2 linked regions of the Yarrowia lipolytica genome follow. The protein of the gene in region 2 interacts with the protein of the main gene of each other region in a pairwise test. Links are inferred from orthologs where the notes say so. Each region holds a gene or a part of one and is shown on either strand. Other genes may lie near its edges.

What was found.
Region 1: the proteins of YALI1_E18303g (region 2) and YALI1_D15622g interact in binary tests that used the Schizosaccharomyces pombe proteins (3 or more experiments, as listed by UniProt). The link is inferred for Yarrowia lipolytica from reciprocal best matches to the Schizosaccharomyces pombe genes pop2 and cul1.

What each region holds. Positions count from the first base shown.
Region 1 is NC_090773.1:1,558,419-1,568,695, reverse strand, and holds YALI1_D15622g (uncharacterized protein), read right to left. Parts: upstream 6,474-10,277; coding exon 4,107-6,473; downstream 1-4,106. Other genes in the region: YALI1_D15692g (uncharacterized protein), read left to right, coding at 1-3,790; YALI1_D15597g (uncharacterized protein), read right to left, coding at 7,304-8,929. UniProt on the Schizosaccharomyces pombe protein: Core component of multiple cullin-RING-based SCF (SKP1-CUL1-F-box protein) E3 ubiquitin-protein ligase complexes, which mediate the ubiquitination of target proteins.
Region 2 is NC_090774.1:1,824,970-1,835,246, reverse strand, and holds YALI1_E18303g (uncharacterized protein), read right to left. Parts: upstream 4,893-10,277; coding exon 2,796-4,892; downstream 1-2,795. Other genes in the region: YALI1_E18378g (uncharacterized protein), read left to right, coding at 1-2,073; YALI1_E18326g (uncharacterized protein), read right to left, coding at 2,190-2,265, 2,337-2,587; YALI1_E18291g (uncharacterized protein), read left to right, coding at 6,098-6,628; YALI1_E18281g (uncharacterized protein), read left to right, coding at 7,148-7,708; YALI1_E18269g (uncharacterized protein), read left to right, coding at 8,287-8,865; YALI1_E18258g (uncharacterized protein), read left to right, coding at 9,449-10,255. UniProt on the Schizosaccharomyces pombe protein: Involved in maintenance of ploidy through proteasome dependent degradation of CDK inhibitor rum1 and S-phase initiator cdc18.

The sequences.
Region 1 (10,277 bases), on a different chromosome or scaffold from region 2:
GTCTGACGTGGATCCCGATAGGTTTCTAAGCGCTCAAAGAAGGAAAAAGAGCTTCTTTGGACGCACAAAGTGGGACGAGGTGGGCTCTAGTTCGCGTGACAAATCAAAGACATTCAACCACAGTGTCAAGGAACACGGGTCTTTCCAGGGGTCGCGATTTTCTCGTGGTAGAACAACACCAGAGCTGCCTAGGAGAGGCACAGGTACGTTTTCCGACCAGCTCAACGCCCAGTCTTCTATTCCTTCTTCCAGAAGAAGAGGAACTTTTTTACGACGAGCAAGATCAAACTCAAAGGGAAAGGGGATCATGACAGATAGTGACTACGAGGAGGAAATGGATCTTCCAGATTGCATACCCGAAACAATCGACATGTCTGTACCCATTGTGAAACTTCCTGGATTTGGTTCTAGCAAACGAGAACATCCTTCTAGTCCACACACAGCTCCACCTGGTATCAAGGTCAGAGACTTTAGCGGCAATGCAGTGAACCACTCTAGCGAAAAGAAGAACGACAATAGTGACGATCCGGACGGTACATCTTACAGGGAACCTGTGGGTGTCATGTCTCAACAGCCCCATGGCTCTGCATTGCATTCTTTGAGAAAGTACAGTGGGCCCAACCACGAAGCCTCCTCCGATATCAAGAAGGAAAATGGCATTGGACCACTAGAGATGCCTCCAAAACTGCAACGTGCATCTACTGCACCCTACAATCTGGGCTCTGAGGGTCGTTCTTCCGCCTCAGACGTCCCTCTTTTTACCCAAACGTCGTCTCAAACGTCAGATACCTCCCATGCTGTTGGTTCGGTGGGCACGATCGATTCATTCCACTCGGCCGAATCGAGTTTGGCACCATTGGATGCCGTAGGCGAGACAAACATGTCTGATGCTGATAGCTTGTCCGAGGAGTTTGATTCAGATCTGGACGCAGACAATGAGCCTACACTCCGTGGCTATGACGTTTCGAAGAAAGACCACAAGGGCAAATCCATCTTGATGGCTCCCAATCGCGCAGATGTGCTCAAGGGAAAGGGGTTCCAGCAAGCTCCTGCGCCCTCATCTTTAACTTCTGCTTCCAAGGTGAAGTTTTCTGGTCCCAGTGGTCTCACACCCGGTCAAAAGCTGCGCTGGAAAGAAGAACAGAAGCTACCCGAGCTTCAGGAACAGGATAGTCTACCTGAGAACGTACAGTTGATGGACGGATCTGACGACTTTGGAAACAACGGCCAAATCTCCGATGCCACTGAAAAGGTGATTGATGATTCAAAGGTAGCTGAAGCTCCAGAGGGACCTGAAGGTCAAGAGCCTGATGAGGTCAAAGAAGACGGAGATCCTACTGTTCCACATACCGGTCTTCGTCATGGTAACGAACCGCGGGGTGCTGAAGTCATGACTCCTGCTACTATCGCCGCTGCCAATGCGGGACCTTCTCAGAGTGACTACTACCTTCAGTTTCAGGAAAACTTCATGAACCGGGCAAAGAATGTCGCTGGTAAGATGAAAGACAAGTCTTCGCGTACTCGAGACGCTACGGTCAAAAACTGGAGGTTTTTGAGAGAAAAATCCGCCGGAGAGATTGTGCGGATCGAGAAGATGTTAGTTATGGTCAAGACCAGTCCAGCTCTGCATCTACCTAAAGACTTCAACGAGACAGAAACAGGGGACACTCGAATGTTGGAACGATGGAGAGAGTACATTGTTGTTGCTCGAAGCACAGGTGACCCCTTGAACCCGATCTCGCTGCAATTCTATTCGTCCCGATCCATCAAGGCTGTTGAGAAGGTGACCAAGGGTAAGACTGGCGCCAAAATGTTTCTGACACTTGGCAAGCATGTCAATGTGTCGCTGTATTCATCTCTGGATAAGACCATCGCCCTGTGGTACACCAGCAAGCGTGAGACTGTCATCTACATTCTGCGGGCTCGCTCAGCCTACTCGTCCATTCGGTGGTTTGCATTCTTCTCCGAAATTCTGGGTGCCCGACGAGACAAGGACATGCATGTGCGAGTGCCTGATCTGGCTGTGGTTGTAACTGTTCGGGTCTCTTGGCGCAAGTTCCGACTTATCGACGAGTACATTTCTAGAAATCTTATGGCTGCCAAAAGAAAGTCAGGCCGAGGTGCTGTTCTCACCGCCAGAGCTCACCAATACATTACTGAGAAGGCGCTCAAGGCTCTGGCTGAAAACCCACGATTTAAAAGCACCATTGATGACTGGGTGAATAATAAGCGAGTCGGTCTTGGATGGCGTCGATACGACCGATTAGAGTGGGTCCAGGGCTTTGGAGAGCAGGAGTTGCATGGTTCCTGGGCCCTCAACCGAACGCACGACTTGGAGTTGCGTGTCAAAGAACATTACGGTGACAAAATCACAATCAAGGGAGAGGAGTTGGTGGAGCCCACCCCCATTGAGGGTCATCTGGTGCGTCTCAAGTCTTGGAATGGACAGCTAGGAGGCGCCTTCTCCTCCAAAAAGAACTCGTTCGGTAAGCTTCTTTACAAGAACCTGTACTTTTCCACCCATGACTACTTTCTTTTCTTTGCCAAGCCCGGCAATGCCATTCTTCCTCTTCCCGACGAAGATCTCAAATGCCAGGAAGCCTACAATGAGGAACAGCGGGAGTGGGTGTACGAGATTGCCCCGTTCAAGTCTGAGGAGGGCACCGGTGAGATGAAGGGCACTCCTATCATCAAGTGGCTCAAACCAGGTATCACCGAGTCGGAGTTTCAAAAGAAGGATTCCATTGCTCTGCACAACATGCAGAGACGGGCCGCTCAGATAATCAAGGCTGATGGGTTCATCAACCTCCTTGAAGTTGTCCAAGTTCGTGCTACCAAACGCCAGGAGGACATCGACGACAGTATTGGTAACGAAGACAACAATGTGGACTTTGACGGCTCTCGAATTCTCCATGGAAGCACGTCTCAGGGCCTGGGAGGAGAAGACGGCGAGGTTGATTCTTTCGACGAACACAAGACGTTTGAGTTGGTGATGGAAAACGGTCTTATCGTGCGTCTACAGGCCTACAACTCGCACTGTCGAAACTTGTGGGTCAACAAGCTCAGGGATCTCATTGCCTATTGGAAAGTGGTGGCCCAAAACCAGCTGCAAGTATCTGCCGACTTCCGAACAAACAACATGAAACGTCTCTACATTGACGATAAGTTAGATGCAGCTATTGGAGAGTCGTCTCCCAAGTGGGAAACCGCCCGTGCTTCAGCCTCTACTACGCTGTACAATGTTTCAGGTATCTCGTGGTCCCGTTCAATCATCATGAAGGGTATGCTGTACCATAAGACACGGACCCATGGCTCATTCAAGTTGTACTACGCGGTCCTGTGCCATGGACATCTCATTCTCTATGACGTTTACAGACGAACGCTCGGAGGTATCCCTATGGACAAGGTGGACTACGAGAGATTCAGAGACATCCCTCTCAAGGAGGCCTACGTGTACTCCGGCAACATTGCGGAGTCAGATATTCTGACCCGCGACGAAATGAGCGATCTCAGCTCGGACAAGGTGGTACCTCGCATGTACAAGGACGGGTGGAAGTCTGCCGAGAGTGAGACTCTGCGATGCATCATTTTGTGGTTCCCTCGAAAGAAGGCCGTGACTACAAATTCTGCCACCAAGCTGCGAACCGTCAATCGACTGGGTGTCAGTGGCCATCGGTACATTTTTGTGGCCCGTTCTCGACAGGAGAAGGAACAGTGGGTTATGGCACTGTCGCATGAAATCGAAAAGCTGGTGGAACCGGATTTTGCTGATATCAACATTGTTAATTAGGCCACTAGCATTATATTACTAATACTTTGATTATACAGCCGGCTTAGATACCGATTTGTATGTATCGGCACTCATGTAGAGAAGACTTTGTACCTGATCTTCTACCGTTTTTCACCTGTTTTACGCTTGTATTAAACTTAAAACATTTCTTACAGTCATCTATTGGATATTACTTGTACTTGAATGACTTGACACCACCACAGAACAGATGCTAACATTTACCATGGTGCCACCATACAACGCAATACCAGAAACATTATCGTGCACAATGCCGTGCAACACGTTTATCAAAAACTGTGCCAAACGCAGAAACAGTTTATGCAGCGTATTCGTACTTGTCCTGCTCGATTCGGGTCAGATACTCTCTCTCAATCAGATCGTCAATCACCTTTTTGATCTCGCCAATTTTGGGGTGGAACCGCTTCTTGGACTGCACAATGGTTTCCTGAACCAGCGCAGTATGCTTGAGAGTCTTTCGAGCCTTCATGACACGAACAATCGTGGCTTGCAAGAACCACTTTCGGTCCTCCTCGATTGCCTTCTTTGTCTCCTCAGCCTCAGCCTTAGCCTCCGTCTTGATGACTCCGTTGATGTTGATTCGGATCTTCTTGGACTTGAAGTCCTGGTTGAAGACGATTCGCGTCTCAGGCGTGAGCTCCACGTCCTTGGGGTCGCCAGACACACCCTCAACCAACAGAAACTTGGACTTGAGGATCAAGTGCAGAGAACCATGCAGGTATGTGTTGCTGAGACCGGTGATCTCCTGCAGATCGGCCACAGACAGAACATCGGCGTCGTTGTAGGCCAGAAGAATGGCAATCTGGTAGATGGAGGCTGTTACCGAATAGCCAATCTTGGAGCCCTTGGTGTGGATCTTGACATCGCCCTTGGTGAAGTTCCACAGCCACTTGAGCTTTCGGCCCTGGTGCTTTGCCTGATAGTACTGGGTGAACGCCTCGTACGTCTTGGTGAGGTCATTGGGCAGTCGGAAGCCGTCCTTGACGGAGGGCAGTGGCCAGCATCCCTCGGCAATGATGGTTGGCGAGAAGTCGACGAGATTGGCCTCTCCGCCTGAGGCAGCCGCGTCCTGTCGCTTCTGTTGTACTCGCTCCTTGAACTCCTCCTGCAGCTCGCCTGATACGGAAATGTCCTGGAACATTTTGTTGAGCTTGCCCGTGTACTCCATACCGCACTCGTTTTTGAGCTTGTTGACCATGGACCGCTCGGCATCGTCGGATGCAGACGAGTTGTAGACAAGACGTCGGGCCAGGTTACGAGTGTAATGCTTCTGGAAGGCGTCCTTTTCTTCCAGGAACCGGAAAATGACAATGGCGTTCTCGAGCTTCGCCTCGAGATCGAAGTCCTCGGTGGTCTTGGTGGTCTTCTTAAGTAGCGTGTTGCAGTAGGAAGCCAGCAGCTCTGGGGTTTTGGAGTCGCGGGACTTGTTGCTAGGCGAATCTGGAGTGGCAATAGCGTTCTTGTTGATGAAGGCCAAACATGCAGCGTCCAGAACCTTGTGCAACGATGTGTGATTGCTGAAGGCCACCTCCACCAGATGCACGTAGCGCTCGTAGACACCAATGAGTGTGTCGACGTAAGTCGAAGCGTCGACGGTGCCAGTGAGGTCCTTGGCCAGCTGTTTGACAGCATTCTCTCCTTCCTGTTTAACGTAGGACTCGAAAACGGGCAGAATAGGGTCCAAGGCGCCGTCCACCTTGCTCAGCAGTACGTGCACACGTCGAATGTCGTCCTCTCGGTAGCCCTGGAGCAGTGAGCCAAACTCGGATCGGATGACCTCTGCGTGGTCGGCGATGAGACACTCGTGGCAGGTCTCAATCACCCGCTGCTCGGAAGACGGATGCAGGTAGACGTCAACTCGGCCCTTCTCTTCCGCCAGACGCTGCTCAGCCTTGCGGTTGTAGTCGACCACAGTGTTCTCTTGGAGGAACAGGGCGGACTCCTTGGTGTAGTAGTCCTTGGTGTGCTGGATGAAAGGATGCAGGAAGGCCTGCTCGTAGACCTGCAGGTTAACCCGCTTGATGTCAAGCTGGTCCAGACCCAATGACACCAACGAGTACACGACCTTTCGGATGTCGATGGTGCCCGTAGATTCGCCGTTTCGCAGCCGGGTGAACTGCTCCAGCAGGGCATCAATGACCTTCTTCTCCAGGGGATCGAAGAAGCACTCCTTCCAGGCACACAAACACATGGTGTTGACGTCCACCACGTTCTTGCGACCGTCGTCTCTCTCTCGCTTGACCCAGTGTCGGTTCAGGTAGTTGAAAATGTGGTTGATGTACTGCGCACCCACCGTGTACTTGTCCCAGCACTTGATGTAGTACAGCAGCAGGTTGCCACCGCTCATGGGCTGGGCCTCAGCCTCCAGCGAGCTGAGATGCGATTCCAGAAAGCCCTTGAGCTTGTAGTACAGGTCTGCGCCAATCAGCTGGGCGCCCCGCGTGCTTGATCCGACTCCTCCTCTGCTGGCCAGACTCACGCTTCGGTTGCTGTCTCGCGAAACGCAGTAGTTGTGGATCGCCGAGTACAGGTTCATGTACATCTGCGATGACAGCCCTGCGCCGTGTGCCAGGTCATCCCGGAGCACCTGGCCCACGCCGTCCTCAATGTACTTCCAGGTGGCGTCGATATCATCGGCGCGGGGAAGTGGTGGTGTGTTTACCATGGTGTTTTTTCTCTGCGGTTGTCGTGGCGTCTTTTTGCAAAAAGCTGTACCTTGTGTGTCTTGTTTTCACTCGTTGCGTCCACTGCCGTGTCACCTGATGCTCGATTCGAAATAGGTGATTGTTTCTAGGCGTAATTGCCAGGTGTAACGGGAGACAGATGGATGGTGAGAGAAGGTGTCTAAGTGTGGTGCGTTAGAGCATATAGCCTTCTGCTTGATGTGTGGGTCTATCTATGTGTGTGACCCAATACCCTAATAAGCTTCCTGTTCTGGGGCTTACTCAGCTGTTAGGACACGCCACTGTAAACAGCTACAGTACTTGTAGCTACCATATACCAACCCATCTACAGTATATATAACGATATTTGTAGCTAAACAAGATCAGATGAAGCATTGACAGACAGAAAAGACGACCAAAACCGGTCCATGGAAAATCCACTCCACCCAAGACTACAAAAACCCCTTTCAATTGCCCGGCCTGTTCTTGTACTTGTATGTACTTGTACATACTTGTATTACACACAATTAAAGGGGTGTGAAGGTACTCTTAGTAAGCAGAGGTCGAAGCTCGTACAGGGGAACGTACCAACATGTATTTACTGTACGTGTTGTACTTAGCATACAAGTACACCTGTGCTCGTATAGTAGTGAATGTCTATCTAAAAGGACTAGCTAGCTACTACTACCGGTACTGTAATGGTATGTGCTGTACTGGTACATGAAGTACCTGCAGAACACTCTCTATTATCTGTATCTGTATTAGTGGAATGCTGGTTAAATGGGAAAGTGTATATGCCATGTCTTGTGATGTGCCGAGAGCTGTGTCTAGTCTAGTTCTGCTTGTCTCCAGCAACACGCTCTACCAGACGGAAGATACTAATGCTAAAAGTGGAGACCCACGAAAAGAGAATCATGAGCAGAAACGCAACCAGACCCTTCTGCCGTGAACACATGGCGTAGTTGTAGGGCATAGGGTCCGGGTCACTGAGATCGTGGTCGGTACGACAGACCCACCGTTTGTCGCACATGGTGTTAAATGCAAGAGCCGTATTTGCGGATGAGAAAATAATAAATAAGAGATCCAACATGATGAGTCGGATCTTGGAGCCGGCATCTCGAAGACCCAGAGGCTTGCCCGAGTACTCGTCGTACGTAATGTACACAATGTACACCAGTGCAATGGACTGCACCACAATGGCCATAATCGTCGACGGCTGCTGGGGAATGGATATCGGCGTGTTATTCTTCGAATGCACAAAGACAGATGCAGATAGAGACAGAGCCACGCATGACAGAGAGAACATGATGGTTCGGAACGTCAGAGGCACGTAGGGGTCGTTGAGCAAGATGACGTAGAACTTTGGTTTCCACGATTGCCGCGACTTCTCGGACACAAACTCCCGGAAGTTGAGATCCGCGCCTCGTTTGTATTTGTCGTCGTCCTCAATGTTTCGGAACAAGCTGATGAAGCCCTTGAGCTTTCGTTTCAGGAACCACGACGTGGATCCCAATTGGCCTTGGTCGTCGCCGCCGTACTTTGACTCAAAGTCGTACTGGCCCTCCAGCTCCGACACATCCACAATCTCTTCATTGCCCAGAACGTCTCGTCGAATGACCTTGTTAGCAAAAGTGCCCCATTCATAATGGGGGTTGGTTTCCACGTATCTGTTTTTGGACTCGCCCTGCACGTACTTGAGTCGGTGGTGGCGGAAAATGTGGGTATGCAGTTTTAGCGGGGCCACCAGCACTCCCTGCAGGGGCCGTAGAGCTGTGGTTTGTGGTGAAGCAAAGTTGAAAGAGGAAGTGGGCAGACGCCGTCTCCAATTCAGAGTGGGTGCCGCACCCTCACCGTTGTCCACGTCGGAAATGGCCTTGTCCGAGTCTCCCTCGGCAATCTCCGTGATACGGTCACTGTCGTTTTGGAAGGAGTTGGAGTTGTTGACCTGCGGTGAGAGTTCCTGGTCGCCAATATCTTCGATGAGCCACACCGGGATGGTACTTGCCACATGTTTGTAGTTGGTTTCGTACTGTTGCGACCTCGAAGACGACGACGTGTTTCTTCGAGACGATACTCCGGTGGTGCCCCCTGAAATCGCTCTGGAGCGAGGCTTGGAGGGCGGCGACGAGTAGGTTGGAAACGGGATCTCACCGCTAGACGATGCGCCCATGGGTCCCGACGGCATGTGTGACGTTGGGTGGGTTTGCGTGTCCGTGTATGTTAATGCTGAGGTGTTGGATTGCGAGGAGGTTGGAGCAGGCGTGTAGGAAGCCGACACAGCTGCGGGAAAGTCGGGCTGGTCGTGTATTTGTTGCTCCTCGCTGGTTTTCATCTTCTTGTTGGCGGCTGGAGGGGGTGGTTCATCGACGGTATCAAAAGAACCACCTTGACTTGTCTGTTTACCACCGTCTGAAGCCTCCACCGGAATGTCATGAGGGCCGTAGTCGTGGGAGGGCATGGCCGAGAGGAGAGTGTAGCTGGGTCGGTATTGTTGTCGGGTTCCTCTCCTTTGATCAACAATGTGATGATTTTTCTTTTATCTCAAAGCAAGCCTGTCTCAAGAGGTCCGCCTCTTGTTTTTTTTTTTTTTTGTCTGTTCTTTCTGTAGGTGTTTTTAAAACAGTTAGGGTCAGATGTTTGGAACCGTTTTGGGTTGAAGCTAGACGAGATTAAGGTGTTTCTAGCCAAGCTTCCTGCGTTATGTGGAGGAGGAAGGGAGAGCTGTTCAAAAGGTGTTGCTGGGGGTGGAAGAGGGAGATCGGCGGACCCTGGGGTCTGGATACGTGTGATCAGGGCCCACAAGCCGTTTTTGCCCGCAATTTGCCCACAAAAACCGCCCGAAACGCGTCCGTTGACGTCCTTGTATGTCCTCGCTTGCCCTCCCCTACTCGTCATTTATGGTCTTCCTTGCTGGTGCATTTGACTGGTGTTGCATATACCTCTCTCCGATTGCGCCGCACTGTCGGCAGTACCTACAGTACATTGGCTACGAGTGGCTACGATACTGAGACAGTCGTCTGAGAGTCCTTATCTTCTTGTAGCTGCGGTCTCCAACTGCCTTGGTAGCCTCTCAAAGTGTTGACGATAAAATCTGGCTAGCGTTATCTGTGCTGTACATACTAAATATAGCCTGTACTGTAGATGTACAAGTATCGTAATCTCGCTACTGTACGTGTAGAAGAGCGCTAAAATGAGGGAATATACCCCAGCTTTGGTAACACCAAGTACCGGTATACGCACTCATATATACTCACACCGCCCCCACCCTGTAATCTCTGTTGCTAATGCATCCACCCTATGGGTTTGAGGTCTGACAGCAAGGTACTGTAATTGGGTTGCCAGGATGACTGACGCTGCTAAGACTACCCAACAGGATACGACTATTGGTACTGTACTGGTACAAGTACTTGGTATAGTGTAGCAACATATCATTTTGTCTCTGCTTACAAGTCCATAACCACCATTGTCGTCTCAGCTAATCTCTCAATTTGCCCATAAAAAGACCAATCTGACATCTCGCTAAAACTTCCCCTGCGTCCATAGTCTACCGCCTCGGGGTGCATTTGGAAATGAGTAACGGGACCACGAGCATGTACGAGTGCGAGTACGTACATTATCGGCTCGAGACATTTCCCACCGTCACTCGTTCTCGTGCACCTTGCAATGGCAGGTGGAACTATCAAGTGACAGCTGACAGATGACAGGCATTGTTGATCAATTGATCAGCGAGCTAAGGTGAGGTCAAACGGAGTCAAGTGAGTTCAACGTGATTGCAAACACCCGAGCTCAATAGACTTGAGTTCGAG
Region 2 (10,277 bases):
AACTCGGCCTTTCTTGTCCTGTACAATTTCATTTCCACAGTTTTCATTCTCACGTTGTTCATTGCTGTCATCATTAAGAATTATTCGAGAACCACGGGTACGGCATTTCTTACCCAAGAGCAACGGGCTTGGGCAGAGGCTGAAAAAATCCTGAAGCTGGTAAAACCGTCCATTGTACCGGTGTACGTGCGTGAGGGAACATGGCGTGAATACTGCTACAGAGTAGTGACGAATCGAAAGGGCAAGTGGAATAAGTTTCTTGCGGGTCTGTTGTTTATCCACCTCATTATTTTGTGCTTAGAATGGTATCCTCAATACCTATATGCCGAAGACATTCGAAATGGGCTCTTTCTACCCATCCTCATTATCCTGGATCTCAACGAGATTATGAGGTTTTATGCTTTTGGTTACAAGGGTTTCATGTCCAGAAAATGGGATCTCTACACAGTACTTGTTGTGACGGGTGCATTAGTGACCACCATCTTCTCTTTTGCTTCTTTCGTTTCCAACACTTACTACAACTTCCAGAAGTTGTGCCAAGTCGGTATTCTGCTACTTTTCATTCCACGATCAGAGCGACTCGACCAGCTGTTCAAAACCACGTCAGCTTCTTTTGCATCCATTTTGAACCTCATGGCTACGTGGATCGTCTTATTTGTGGTATATGCTATTGCGTTCAATCAGATTTTTGGTCTCACTCGAGTTGGCCCTAATGGAACAGGAAACATCAACTTCAGAACAGTCCCCAAGGCCCTGATTCTCTTATTCCGGATGAGTTGTGGTGAAGGGTGGAACCAAATCATGTCTGATTATCTTTTGGAGCCGCCGTACTGTATCAACGGTGCTGGTTTCAACGAGACTGATTGTGGATCCCGTCCCTACGCGTATCTGCTCTTCATTTCTTGGAACATTCTCTCCATGTACATCTTCGTCAATATGTTTGTTTCTTTGATTTACGAAAATTTTTCGTATGTCTACCAGCAGACTGGCCCACTCAGTCGAGCCATCAAGCGGGAAGAGCTGCGGAAGTACAAGAAGGCCTGGAGAGAATTTGATCCCACCGGAACTGGATACATTAGGCCAGATGAGCTCCACAGATTTCTCCGACGAATTGAAGGCACCTTCTCGATGTGCATTTATGAAGGCGATTGGTCTATCAAAGAGCTGATTTCAGACCACAACATTAGAGTCAATGACCATGACCCTTATGATGTCGACCTTCCTGCGCTGAACAAGGCCGTTCGAACCATCCCAGTCGGAGACATGATCAACAGACGCCGGGCCTTTGACACACTTTGTGAGCAAGTGTTACTTGAGAGAAACCCAGACAAGGGTATATCTTTTTCTCAAGTACTGCTGGCAATTCCCATCTATAAGATGGTTGATGAAAACAAGTGCTTCATGCTAGATGCCTATCTCAAGCGACGAATCATGCTTCAACAAGTGGAAGAGAACCTTCTGAAGGCAAAACTACGAGGCTTCATGGATATGGTGCAACTCAGAAGAGAGTTTCACGAACGACGAGACGATATGGGTCCTATGTCAGCTTCGAGAGATCCATTTGAGAGCACAGGAGTGACTAGAATACCTTCGGGCTCGCGAAAGAACATTGTGCCTCAAATTTTCATCACTACTGATGGCGACAGCAAAGAAGACTTTACCAGCGAGGAGCCATCGTTGCTTCCTAGGAAAACGGCGGACTTCGATGTGGAAGAGGTACCTACAACACCTGATGGTGTTCCAGTTCCAGCAGACTACTTCCTGTCTACAGACCCAATGACACCGAACCCGAATGCTGGCAGCTCTGGCCGTTTCTCATGGACTTCGGAACGGTCAAACATTGACAGGAACTCTATGTGGGACCGGCGCGTATCAGGCGACAGTGACAATTTCAAGGACCAAGACTCCTCTGATTTGAACCTCATCCACAGACAGGAAGACCAGCTCATCGACTCGTTTGAGAACTCCGTTTGGGGTGGAGCTCTGTCCAAACGAGCTAGCCGATACCAACGTGCAGAGCAAGATGACGAGAAGGATGAAACACTTGACGACGATAGCCACGACTACATCTAACCATGGATATACTTACATAATTTATAGAAATGTTGAAATTAATCGAAACATATACACCGTAGTAAACGTGCTTTGTATTTCGTCTATGTACATGGCAGTATAAATTAATAGCATGCCTATTTTTTCTTCTTTCCACCGGCCGCCTTCTTCTCGGTGAGCTTCTTAGGGGCTCCCTTTCCTCGTTTCTTTCGCCTGTTGTTAATAATTGAACCACGATTGTGCGTGTACCTAGTAGCCTTTATACAATAGGATCTAATACTCACTGAACAACGTTGGTAAGTCGGTACCACTCAGTGTAGTCTGCGAAACCAAACTGGGGCATGGCCTCTCGAAGGCTCTTCATGCTGAAGTCGCTTGTGGGGTAGTAGCTCTTGATCTGCTCGCCAATCAGCGGTGCCCGGAGGGCCTTAGTGCCACGTCGAAGGTTCTCGGGGTTGTAAGACCGATTAAAAACCTGGGCAGTCAATTTTGCCAACGAGGTAAGTCGCTCTTTGCTGGGCCGGATGGGGTTCATCGTGGTGCGAGTTGTGTTGTGGTGATTTGGGACTGAAAAGCTAACATCTCATTGAAACCTTAAACACACGTGACCCGATAAGCTCATTTGAAAACACAGCCATCAGAATTACTGTATGAAGGTATGTGATACGAGTATCGTAAATAATATCCTGTTAATTAAATATATGGGTGGGCAAATGTAAATGCCCATGTAGCTTGTATGAAACTTAGGATTGAGCTACATCAGGAGCGGCAGCGGTGTCAAGCTCGTCTTCGACCTTGATGTCATCCTCATTTCCAACGTAGACCGTTTTCTCAGTCTTCGTTCCTGGCTCATAATCGAAATCCAGGATTCGGAGATAAGCCTCGTTGTCTTTCTGGACAGCTGCGACGAGCTTGGATCCACTAAACCGCACTTGCCAGATTGACTCACACTCCGTGAACAAATCTTTCACAAGTTTGCCAGTACGAATATCCCAGAGCTTCAAGCATTTTGCGGAACCACTGACAACTTTGTATTCGTCGTGCTGAAAGCAAGAAATTGCCTCCGCGTGTCCCTCCAGCTTATGTATGTTGCCTCCAGTCTCGGGGTCCCAAACTCGAAGGGTCCAGTCAACTGCAGCCGACACGAGCCAAGATCGGTTGAGGTCAAGGAGACCAACAAGCGAGGTGTGACCTTCCAAAGTGTACAGGCAGGATCCTGACTCAAGGCACCAGACCCTCACATTCCAGTCAAGCGACCCAGAGATGCATCGATTACGCTGATGATCAAGAACAGCAGCATATACTCGCTTGTGATGTCCAGAAAGTACAAACTTGCACTTTCCAGTGTTGATAGACCAGACACGCACAGTAGTGTCATAAGATCCAGAGACAAGAGTGTCACCGTAGCCATTAACGGCGCGAACAGAATTAGAGTGGCCCTGGAGTGACTTCATGAAGTAGGGATCCTGAGTGGACTGATCCAGCCATTCAGGCTCGCCTGGAAGAGGAAGCTTCCAGACTCTCAGTGTCTTGTCCCGAGATCCAGTAACAATGAGAGGTCGAGAAGGATACATCTCATCGGGGTCGGTGCTCTCCGTTCGTGCAGTAGCACACATTGCATGGCTCATTGGCACAGGAGTCAGGATGCTTAGTGACCGCACCGTAGAGACGTGACCTGTAAAAATGTGGGTGCATCGTGCTTCTTTGATGTTCCAAATTCTAACAGTTCTGTCAATACTTCCACTGACCAATGTATCACCAACGTACTGCAGAGCCCACACTCCTCCAGTGTGACCTTCGAGTCGACTTCGTTGACGGCCAGTTTTAGTGTCGTAGACGTTGATCCAAGGGTCTTCGCTGGCAGTGACAATGATGTCATCATCAAACTGGAGACAAGTAATGACTGCCTCCCGTCCAGTTCGGATGCATGTGGAGTCAGGTGTGGAGTTGGGATCCATCCAGTTGCGACGAATAAGATGTCTTCGACGGTATATGCTCTTGTACAGGTTGATCTTGCTGTACAGAGGAGTGGATTCGACAATGCTAGGATCGGTGTCCTCGGACCCCCACGTGGTATAGTCCCACTTTTGCTCGGTAGCTCTGGCAACGTCAGCATCGGTAACGGGCGCCTGGTGGCTCTCTGAAAGACCCTTCCAGATTGCGCCCAAGCTTTCAACAATGGAGTTCCAGCTTTTTGAAACCTGTGATGCGGCACAAAGAGTCTTGTAGTCGAGGTGGGACAAAACCTTTGTGGCGAGTTCCAAAGGAAAGATGGACAGCAAATCGCAGCGCAAGGCAGGGACGACAATATCGGCTACCATCGACAGGTTCCGTCTGTTGCATCGACGTAGAAGCTGGAACATCACGTAGTTCTTGACAGGGGCTGGTAGATCGTCGAAGTTGTCGAGGAGCTGAGGGATTTCGTCCCGTAGGTTGGCATGAGGAATGGTAAGATGCTGTTGCTCTTCTTCTTCTTCTCGAGCCGGGGGAGGCGAAGGCATGGCGACGTTTGATGCGGATGTTTGCTGCTCGTCGGTCTGCTCAATTTCCAAGTCATTTCGGGGTACCTTCTTCTGGCGTGGCAGGCTGCAAGACGCCTGGCGCTTTTTGCTGAGTTCCGTAGCACGGGATGTTGCGTTATCAGAGGCAGCTCCAAGAGTTCCATTCTCGAGACTGGCAGAGGTGGACGTCTGTTCACCCCCAAGTTCGACGAACTGGAGCTCGTTGCCATTGACGTCAAAGTGAAACTGCGAGAGATAGTCTGGAGTATCTGTACCCCGCAGCGGATAGTTAGCGTTGCTAGATTTTGGGTCCTTCCTGACGATGGAGACGGTATGCATTTTTGTATCGTAGTTTGAGGCTGCTTTTGTTGTGAGTTGAGCAGAGGGTGCGGGGTGGTGGTGTATATGTCCGTGTTACCGAGAGCGAGCGTTTGCAGCGGCAACTATTGAAAGGTAAACTACCGCTTATCAGTTGGGGCTCGACGAGTAGAGAATATGCTGTGGTGGTGGCGCGAAGTGGGTGTCGTGTATCAGTTGACTGCAGTGGTCTTCCTTCAAAATGAATCACCAGGGACAACAGGGGTTGCTCTGGGACCAGGAAAGGCTCTAGTGTCTTGAACGTGTCTCTTCTGCCAGTTTTTTTGCACGGCTTATCGTGAGTTGTCTTGTTTCGACGTTGTCGCCTGTGCCTGTTGTGTATTGTGTGTGGGTTTGGTGTGTGGTATGTTTCCAACTTCGGTTTTACCCTTTCTATTGAAGTCTCTCATGCGCCGAAGGGGTCAGACTGTTTGTTGACAAGCACTACTCACCGAAATTGGAAATCTTACACAACCGCCGAAAAGCAGAGAAAATGAAATGTTTTAAAGTCTCGTATCCTGTGAATCTTTTGGAAATGTAATATCGTATTTGTCTATTGCTCATCTGAGGAAACAACAGCCTAAATACCAGCTGTTAGCCCACCCAGATGGTGTTGCTACATCGCAAATTCCTGCACGCATGAAACTCTGTTTACGACCAACTCAAAGTATAACAGCGTTGGGCAGTCTTCCAAATGTATCTCACGTGTAGTTAGCAACGAGTAATCTTCGCTTGCGGGCATGCGACATCACAAGTATATTGATTGTAGCTAATGTATCGCACAAGTATAAGTACGAGTAGAAGCACTACAAGTAGTTCTTACTGTACTATCGTAGTATGTCCTTGTATCGTACAATAATATATCGTACTTGTACAGACATTTTTAATTCCAACCAATCGGGCTTTTGAACCGCCGACAGACCCCTCAAAAGGACAGTAAATACTTCAGAATATGGTGGCAAAATAGAAAATAAGTATCATTCAGCCAAGTTTAGGTTGCCGCATACATCTTATGAATTCATTTTATATGGCTCCGTAACATTTAATTGTACCGTGGAAGAGTGGGCGGCCATCATAATTTGATTACTCGGATTCGTGGGGAGAAAAGAGCGATCTGGTGATCTTGCATGAATTGAGGCGAACTTTACTCCCAGGCATCGTCCTTCACCACGATCCTTCAGAAAGCCATGAGTTTGATAAGATCGCTAAGAACAGTGCCCCGAATCGCACTGGCCACAAGAGTAGCCACAGGAGTGGCCTCTCTACCTCTTCGCAGACCCCTCACCACTGGCGTGCGACGTGCGACAAGAACAGTTACTTTGCCACACATCACTACACATCATGAAACGCTCCGACTATATTCTCTCCAGGCGACCGAGCTGGAATTAGAGGATTACCACATTCAAGCGGATGAATATTTGGAGTCTATCTTGATTGCTTATGAAGAATACGCTGAGGAGGTCGATTCAAATGAGCTGGATGTGGATCTAGCTCAAGGCGTGATGAGCTTGGAAATCCCTGGTGCTGGATCCTACGTTATCAACAAACAACCCCCGAACAAACAGATTTGGCTAAGTTCCCCCATTTCCGGCCCCAAGCGTTATGACTATGTCGACGGTGAATGGGTTTATCTGCGTGACGGCACCACCCTAACAGAGCTTCTGGAGACCGAAACCTCCGAAGCATTTGCTTCCACTGGGAAGAAATTTCATCTTTGAGAAAGCCTGTATATAAGTGCATAGATTTAATCACCTACCTGTAGTATATGTCGAGTTGTGTCTAACCCACAAGAAAATACAACGGCGCTATTCAATCACACTTGTATGGTACTTTTATGTTCGGGGTGACAGGTGGGGTTGTACATACTTACTGTCTACGATACTGTACCACCATAATCTTGTTGAGAGGTTGTGCAGTTCCCCGGAGCAAAGGCGCGTATTACAAATCTAAATATCATGATATCGCTCGTAGAGGCATATAATAGTGCGCGACGAGTTTATTCCTTCACCGTATTCATTGCTTGTAAGGTCGCACGTGAAGGATCAGTCATACACAGCCTCCGGTCACATTTGACACAGCCTCCTAATTACCCTGTGTGTAGTGCAGTAGTAAACTTGGCCAAAACTACCCATACCCAAATCTCAAATCCCAATAAAGTCTGACCACGAAGTGCAGCGATCGAAACGTAGCTAGCTGTAACACGGCATCTTCAGTCCAGCCCAGGCCTCAGCAACGACATGCCAAACGAGCCAACTCCCCCCAGCGTCCCCGATGGCTGGTTAGCCAAATGGGACCCCAACTACAAGACTTTTTACTATGTCGACCTCTCCAACGGAAAATCACAGTGGGACAAGCCTAGCGGCTCCGGTGGCCACAGTCCGCCATCATACGACCGGCCTCCTTCTCGGGGAAGTAGCCACAGCAACAGCAACAACAACAGACCTCACCAGGAGCAGCGTGGATATGGTGGTGGTGGTTCAGGCCCTCAAGGATACGGCGGGGGACCTGGCCCTGGTGGCTTCGGCGGTCCCCACGGTGGCGGAGGTTATGGTGGAGGACCGGGCCCCGGATATGGCGGAGGGCCGGGCCCCGGATACGGTGGCCCTGGACCTGGTTATGGCCCTGGACCTGGTTATTGGCCCCCCAGCCCATGTACCAACAACCCCCGCCTCCACCTATGTATGCCCAGCCCCCGCCTATGCAGATGCAGCAGCAGCAACCTCACAGACGAAATTGGGGAACTACCGCCATGGGTGTTGGTGGTGGTCTTCTTGGTGGTATGCTTATTGGAGACATGATGAGTGGCCACCATGATGGCGGTGACACGGTTGTGAACAACTATTATGACGACAACAGTAACAACAACGACGGCGATATGTATTCGGGAGGCGCTGATGATTATGGTGGAGGAGACGACTGGTAATATAGATAAGCTTGTTTTTTTCGATAATAATTTGGTTCTCGTAGCCCTTTTACTATGTTTTCTATTCACCCTCTTCGTCTTCTGGCTCTATGCTTCCCATCTACTGTAAGCCGAGTTGCTTACTCAGATCACACAGTTAAGGTTCGTTATCATATGAGGTGGCATTTGAGTACAGATTAGTTTTCATCGGCAGCAAGTGAGTTCCGAGTCATTGAGGGTGTCCCCGTGTCTTGACAATTGAGGTGGGGATATGTAGAGAGCAGCCTACGATCCTGGTGATGTATGTGCGATTTCAATTTGGGGACTTCTATCATGTGCAGCGTCCGACATCCTGTTCGAGTCTTACACCTGCGTCGCAGCAGAGTGCGGACTTGGGATGAATGAATTTGGACATGAGCCGACAAAAGTTAACTTCACCACCTTACGCATCTTCTCTCAGTCCTCCAAACAGACATGGCCCGACACGCACTCAGTAAGGCAGAGGCCTCGTTTATTACCAAACTCATCCGTGTCGACCAGGCTGGAGAACTTGGTGCGGACCTTATTTACCGAGGTCAGTACATGGTTCTCAGCCGAACCAAGCCTGAGATCGAGCCTCTCATCAAGCACATGTGGGAGCAAGAGCAGCACCACAGACGAACTTTCAACGAGCTTCAACAGAAATACAGAGTCCGGCCGTCTCTGCTTACCCCGATCTGGAAGGTTGCAGCAACTGGTCTAGGCTGTGCCACGGCCCTTCTTGGTCAAGAAGGTGCCATGGCTTGCACTGAAGCCGTAGAAACTGTTATTGGTGGACACTACAACACTCAGTTGCGATGGTTACACGAAAACTTCCCTCCCAAGGAAGAGCGGTCCAAGGACGAAGAGATCACCTCTTTGAAAAGCATTGTTAAGCAATTCCGTGACGAGGAGCTGGAGCATCTCGAGATTGCTGTGGAAAACGACTCGCATGAAGCCAGACCTTACTGGCTTCTCACGGAAACCATCAAAGCAGGATGTCGAGGAGCCATTTGGGTCGCCGAGCGAGTTTAAGCATCTGTATATAAATATGTATTAACGAATGTACGAGTGGAAGGTGAACTATTTTTTAAACCCCATCATCTCCTTAGCACGATCCTGCGCCGACTCACTCGAAAAAGTCCCTGAGAGTTCCGCAGGGACATTTTGCATCCACCCATCCCGGTTGGGATTGTGAGCAGGGTCCATATTCACCCATGTCTTGCTTCTGCTCCTCTCCTCTAACCTATTGAGAGCCTCTGTCTCGCTGATGTTGGGGTTACCTGTTAGTGATGGACCGAAGTCATCGTCGTCTGATGAGTCTGCCTCTTCGGACAGTTGCGGTCCAGCCTGGACCACTTCAAGGGCACTGGCAGCTTGCTGAATTCTCTTCTGGCGCCGTTGTAGAACCTCCCCAGGTATGTCAGGACCGTAAGTCATCGTACAAGAAGTCATGCTGTAGCTGTCGATCACTGTGTGTTACCTGTTACTGTACTTCTATAGTTAACACGCTTGTACTCGTACCAATAAAACAACCTCCCATCAAACTTTAAATCGAGGGTTCATGCTTCGTGTGCGTTGACAACAGCAGTAGCACAGTCGACGAGACACCACAACCATGAAGTTTTTCGCCTTGCTGTCGGCGCTGTCCGCCACCGCTATTGCCTCATCCGAATGCATGGGTTACATTGCTACATACCCCCAGACGGGTGCTGCTCAACAGTCCATTAATGGAGCTGAGGCCCACCTCGTGTTGGCTGACACCCTGGGTCTGTCTAGTGGTCTCAACGGCAACCAGTTGGCCGAGAAGGAGCAGTTCTTTTTCGCTCTTCCTCAGATGGGATTGGGCCCTGTGGACTCCCATACCGTTTTATTCTCTGATCATGCTAACGACGACTCTGGGGCTCTTTACGCAATTGAGTCCGCCATCGATATGGGCGCTATTCAGAAACTGAGTCACCGACTGGAACAAAAGCATGGAGCTGCCAAGGCTTCCCTCATAATGTCGTCTTCGTCAAGCCATATTGAAGAGCTGATTTCTAACGCCGACGAAAAGAATCCTGTCACCGTCGTGTACGCCCCCTCATGCCTCCGAGCTACAAACAAGGAGAAACGTGGCCGCCTAGCAGCCTCCAAGAAGAAGCAGGCTATTGGTATTGCCAGATTTGGCTCTGAGGATGAGTGCAACGAGAAGACAAATAACTGCTCAGGCCATGGTGCTTGCTCCAAGGGCCGTGGCGAGTCTGCCTACACATGCAAGTGCAAGACTGGCCGAGGAGGAAAGTTGTGCCAGAAGCAGGACGTGAGCGTCCAGTTCCAGCTTTTCTTCTGGACTGCAGTTGTCGCTCTGATTACCATTACTCTCGGTATCAAGCTCATGATGAGCGTTGGTAGCGAGCCTCTGCCTGGCGTTTTGGGTAAATAGAGCATACTGTAGCTAACTATCC